Kluyveromyces lactis: one gene and its partner. The protein of the gene in region 1 purifies or fractionates together with the protein of each later gene. This does not show direct contact. Links are inferred from orthologs where the notes say so. Each region holds a gene or a part of one and is shown on either strand. Other genes may lie near its edges. The genes, in order: UBX3 and DSC2.

What was found.
Region 2: the proteins of UBX3 (region 1) and DSC2 purify together in Saccharomyces cerevisiae (affinity purification with western blotting; 5 studies listed by BioGRID, with this or other methods). This does not show direct contact. The link is inferred for Kluyveromyces lactis from reciprocal best matches to the Saccharomyces cerevisiae genes UBX3 and DSC2.

Annotation. Positions count from the first base shown.
Region 1 is NC_006042.1:680,432-683,692, reverse strand, and holds UBX3 (clathrin-mediated endocytosis regulator UBX3), read left to right. Parts: upstream 1-1,291; coding exon 1,292-2,530; downstream 2,531-3,261. Other genes in the region: RAM1 (protein farnesyltransferase), read left to right, coding at 1-907; RNA-binding signal recognition particle subunit SRP14, read right to left, coding at 2,649-3,104.
Region 2 is NC_006039.1:413,431-416,518, forward strand, and holds DSC2 (Dsc2p), read right to left. Parts: upstream 1,682-3,088; coding exon 845-1,681; downstream 1-844. Other genes in the region: tubulin-binding prefolding complex subunit PAC10, read left to right, coding at 157-750; PEX8 (Pex8p), read left to right, coding at 2,032-3,088.

The DNA of each region.
Region 1 (3,261 bases):
TCAGAAGCGTATTTTGGACAAGCTATGGTATATATCACCTACAGGTGGTCCCTTCAGCGGCGGAAAGCATCAACTACCACATCTAGCGGCCACATACGCTGCTATAAATTCCATCGCTCTATGTCACAATCTCGATGATAACAGAGAAATCAATAAAAAGGCTATATACGACTGGCTCATTTCTCTTAAAACACCTAGCGGCGCGTTCATGACTGCACGCCCAGTCGGCGAACAAGATGTGAGAGGCGTATACACTGCATTATCTATAGCGTCACTACTAGGCATTGTGGACTCTAAACTAACAAGTAATGTGACGGAATTCTTGACAAGATGCCAATCTTACGAGGGTGGTTTCGGAGGCTGCCCAAATGATGAAGCACATGGTGGCTACACTTTTTGTGCAGTAGCCAGCTTGGCAATGTTGAATGCCTTAGATAAGGTCAATATCGATGCGTTATTGTCATGGTGTAGTTCTCGTCAAACTAAAGAGGAGAAAGGTTTAAACGGAAGAAGCAATAAACTTACAGATGGTTGCTACAGTTTTTGGGTTGGCGGAACTGCTGCAATCTTAGAAGCATACGGGTATGGAGTATGCATAGATAAAGACGCCCTAAAACAATATATATTGAAATGCTGTCAATCGGAAGAAAGCCCTGGCCTAAGAGATAAACCGGGAACACAAGCGGACTTTTATCATACCAATTATGTGTTGGCTGGTTTATCAATTTGCGAACATTCTTTTATGGTCCGAAACAATTCACCCTTCGATTTTGTTGCAACTCCACTTGTGCCAGAACCGGAAGTTGAGCCTATTCATCCCATATTCGGACTGGCTATCCTTGACGTTAACAATTTCATTAATAGACGCGGAGAACCATCCATGTCTAATCTGTCAATGAAAGTGTAATGAATTCACGATTAACTCTGATGGCATGTGTAATACTATAAAACTATATACTCATTATGATACCTAAATTAACATGACTCCATAGGTGAAGAAAATAACTTTCGGAATATAATAAAATTGAGAGTAGCAATCATCGGGAATTATACTCTAACTATTAAATGCCTTAGTTGTACTATTTAGCCGTGGCGCTTTTCTTTGTGAATTTCCACTCACGATGATCTATCATTGTCTGTCCATTAAATTTGACATTTAAAAAACAATATCAGACATCCTTTAAAAGTTGTCAATGGTATCCATAGGGTAAATCTTCAGTAGAAGAAGAGAAAGCTTCACCTATATTAGAGGCTGTACTCTTCTATAGAAACGAATCTGCAACTGTTGAACATGGTATTCAACATTTTCAGTAGGCCGTCTCAGCAGAACCAACCTGCAGTGAGTTTTACCCCTCTCCCAGGATCATTCCCTGAAGACAATGATAATACAGAACAACCTGAACAGGAAACAATACTGAATGCTGGCGTTCCTAGAATATTAAAAATGTGCTTATACATTCCACTAACATTACTATATTACTTGCTCAATATCCTGTTAACTTCGGTGGAAGTTTTCAAACCAATAGGCAAGATCTTTCATTTCTACACAAGAAAAGACAATCATTTCAGCGATGATTTGGGTAACCAATTCGTAAATGTTATAGATGTCCTTTCTTCATCAGCCGATACCAACGAACAGAGTGGTTATACATTCGATACGTTGTACAATGTAGAGAATGGAATGTTGAGCAAAAATATGATTAAGGGTGGTTACACTGATATCTTACGTCGGTGTTCCAGCGATGGTAAATTTGCAATAATATCTTTCTTCAATCCGATACTATACGATCCATTCGAGTACGTAAGAAAGATTTTAACTTCCAACGAGTTTGTAGAATGTGTCACCAAATATAATTGCGTTGTATGGTTTTGCGATGTTACAACACCACAAGGGCTACAGACTGCTAATTCTTTAAAGATTAGACAGTTTCCATTTTTAGGTGCCCTTGGACCCCAACGGAATAATAAAATGAAATTGCTTGCCAGAGTGGAGGGCCAACTATTTGATTATGATTTCTCTCATTTTGAGGCCAAATTAGCCTCATATTATTCAGTATTAGTTGAGATTAGAAGGCAAAGACAGTACCAGGAAATGCAACGGTTATTAAGAGAACAACAAGATTCGAGATACCAAGAATCGCTAGAAAGGGACCAGGAAAGGGATAGGGTAATCGAGGAAAGCCAACTTAAAAAGAAATGGTTGGCTTGGAGAAAATCTGTACTAGTGCCAGAACCATCGGGTGACGGTTGCAGAGTAAGCATCAGACTAGAAAATGAAAGAATTATTAGAAGATTTGATGCTTCATTAACAATTGAGGAGATTTACGCATACGTTGCATTATACAGAGCAGGTTTATTATCTGACACTAGCAGCGAGAATGATATTACACAAGAAAAACCAAATTACGAGTATCAGTATGACTTTCAACTATATTCACCTGTGCCCAGAACCCGTTTGGAGCCAACCACAGTGATCAAGGAAGAACGGACAATTTATCCATCGGGAACAATTGTCGTGGAGTTCGAATGAAAACCAAATTACTGGTTTGCAGTTTGACATCTATATATGTATATATAACATGTACTTTATAATGCTACACGATTGCGGATTTATGATTCATGGGTGATAATAGGTTGGGAATATTTCATCAGTTTTTCTTACCACCCTTCTTCTTCTTCTTCTTTTTAATTAATCCAGACATACTTGTTTTTACAACATTAACATAATCCTTCCAAAATTTATCAAGAGTCTTTGAATCTACCAAAGTGAAGAATTTCGTTCGTTTCCCATCATATGGCATGCTCACTAGCACGATAAGTCTGTATGGTTTTGTATCTGGTTGAGCGTTTTGTTTTAAACGTTTGGATTCTGACATCTTTGAGATATCACCAGTAGGATTGGAAGTAACATCCAATTCATTAGGTTTTTGAACGTGATGACTGCCCAAGTCTCTTTTCAAGCTTACTTTGAGCTGATTGTGCGATACCTTGGACATTCTGAAAGCTTTTTCAAGCTTAACAAAAAATTCGTCATGAGACAAAGGTTTCTTTATGAAATCTGGCGTTTCCTTAAGCCCACTAGCGGTTCCATCTTTGTCTGACATAATGGGAAGTTACCTGTATATTCTGGTGACTTGGATAAGTGATGATATTGAACCTTTTTCTTTGGACATCTTTACCATATTCTGCCTGTCGAAGGTTGAATCTAAGGCCTTTCCCTCATTTGACTGGAGCTAAGTACGATTTTTTCAACTGGCAATT
Region 2 (3,088 bases), on another chromosome or scaffold:
TCTTCTGCATGTAAACAATGTTAATCTTCCATAGTTTTGCAAATTAAAACAAACTTTGAATGAAACAAAGAATTGTTGAAGTATTGAGGGGAAAGAGCTGCTTGGTATGTGCTTGGACCGCGTGGAGACGTCAAAACAAAACTACAAAGTAACATAATGGATACGCTATTCAATTCTGCAAAGACAAATCCTAGAGGGATTCCTGAGGCTCCATTCGTGGAAAAGGTGGAGCAGTATGTGAAGAGTCCTGAGGATTTCGATATGTGCTTCAGCAAGTTCCAAGAACATCTATCCAAATATAAGTACATGCAAGAGTCTAAACTAGCAAACATAAAACAGCTTAAAAGCAAGATTCCAGATATTGAAAATACTCTCAATATGTGTGCGCTTTTGAAGCAAAAGAGAGAGACAGAGGTTGACGAAGACGATGAGGAGGAAGATGACAGCTTGCTGATCAACTATCAGCTAAATGAAACGCTTTTTAGTAAGGCGTCAGTCAATCCGAAGGATCCTGAATTAAAGGTCGGGTTATGGTTAGGTGCCGATGTGATGCTCGAGTATCCTCTAGATGAGGCAATTGAGCTTTTAGCTCAAAAGCTAGCAGATGCCAAGCAAAATCTGGACATATCTCAGCAAGATGTGGAGTTCCTAAGAGAGAATATCACGACTATGGAGGTCAATTGTGCTAGATTATACAATTGGGATGTTCAAAGGAGGCAGCAGATGAAAAAGGAAGGCTCTTCTGGTTGAACTGTTTCTTTAAATCCTATTTATGTATATACACCATGTAATTGAATCAACGCATTGATAGATTTAAATATTATCATTATCTACAAAAAGTGTTTCACCTTCTAAAAGTATCCAAGAACTGGACCCCTAAAGTGCGCTGAGGTTCATCTTGAGGTTCTTCGGCCTCTTCCTCATTTAGATCTTCCGATGTCATATCGTTTGTCATAACTGCGCTTGGTCTGTTTAATGTGCTAGAACTTCTGTTCCAGCTGTCTTTGAAAGGCGCCAATTGGAAGGAGTCAGTACCTGGTAGTAGCCCATTATCCATCAAGATAGCACAAATCCAACTTATTAGTCCGATTACCAACCCTGTTGCGCCTTGATTTACCATGGCAAGGAATAACAGGCCATGGATGAAAAATTGATCTGTCAGCTTCCAAACGATCGTGTTAGAATGAAGAAGAAAAGGTTGGTTGATTATTATATTGAATTCGTATAACCTTGGTGTATACTGTTTGTAGAAATGAGTCAAACACAATATTACTGGTAGTGGGCCATTTGTGTATTGATCCCACCAAATTCCAGGCAAAAGCTTGTTAAGTAGATTCGAAATCAAAAATATTACCACTGTTGTATAAGCCCATGATAATATCACGATATTAAGGTACTTCCTTGATCCAAATAGCCTCTCTAACGATCTAAACTGATACCAAATCAAGGTCATTATGGCAACATCGCTTTCATTTAAACTCCCTAACTGAAACGTAAAATACCTCCAATATTGTCCATATTCAACGATAAATGGGTCATATTGTAAAAGGAACAGATACTTCATATTGAATAATGATGCTGTTAGGGCAACCCCTACACAACAAATCATCAGTATCTTTGTTATTGGGAATTGAACCAATCCAGTTGGTATTTCCACACCTACACTATTTGTTGACGGCATTTTGGTTAAAATTTCTAGCAGCGTTCTGCCAAGTGATCTTTCCCTCGAAATGTATTGTTCGAGAATTAGTTCGGGGAGACTATTGTTTCATTCGATACCAGAATATCTGCGCTTCAAGCTCGTCTCTATTCTTTACCTGTAAGATTATAATTATTTAAGGTAAAAAGTTTAAGTCTTTCATTTTGATATTGAAATATTACGATTGAACAGTGAAACTATATGCATTCATATCAAGAAGAATACCTAGATACCATTACGAGCAAATAGGGAAGGCAATTGCCATAAACTTCAGGTACGCTAGAGAAATAAGTCGTGTGAGTACTTTGCCTGCTATCCTTCTGAACAGTTCGATGATAGAAACGGAGTCTATTAACCACTTGATAACTGCGTTAAACGGTTCATCGGTGATTTCCTCGACCGTTGGTGAGTCGCAAGTTCTTAACAATATTGTCTACTACTTGCCACGTATCCGAGATTATCAACTCTTGGCTCAGCTAATACATGCCTCGTTCCACTGGAAGCCACAGAAGCTTACCATCTGGCAAGTATTTGAAGCATCGTCTGCCGTTATGAAATGGAAGTTAGAGATCTCGGAACCGCGTTTGAGCATCCATAAATTCGTTTCGCTTTGGAAACAGGAACTCGAATCATGTTCTGCACTCAACATTTTCCAGCTTGCAACTTTAGCTGGTCTTATCAGTTGCAGGCAGCAGCTTGAGGTTTTGCAGGAGCAATTGTTTATTGATGATTCAGGAACAGCAAGTGAGGAGTTGAAAGATATTAAATTTCGTCATTTCATGCCGTATTGGAATCAGTATATGAATATATCCAAAGGTGACCATCGGTTGATTGACGATTTATGTATACTTTATTCCATGGTTCATATGCAGTCCGATTATGTTGCGTCAAATGAGCTGTTATTCCAAAGTCTTTTCAACATTCTAATGACATACATTAATAACGGCGATACAGAGTACCATGGACCAAATGCGTTCGCTTACAAACATTTGAACTTGATTTGTCAAACTTGTGAACATAGCATATCTAACACACACAATCGAAGGCTGCTCAGGAGTAAATTGGAGGAATTATGCAGAATCATGGGTGCTTTATCTGACAAAGAAACACTGACTGGTAGGAAAAAATACACAGATAAATACTACATCAACATTCTCTTTATTGTGGTTATTCTACTATCTGGGTATAAACCTTCAGCAGAAGTCGTGCATGAGATTACGATGACGTTATTCTATACAAGTTTTATTTTACAAGACTTTGGACTAGATGGATTTACCAAATATCAGGAGCTCATATATTCCGTATGTGGCAGGATTTGTCAGGACTTCGATATCTTCGATCAGATACTAAAAGAAATGATTTCTAAAATGCAATTTAATATGGATAATA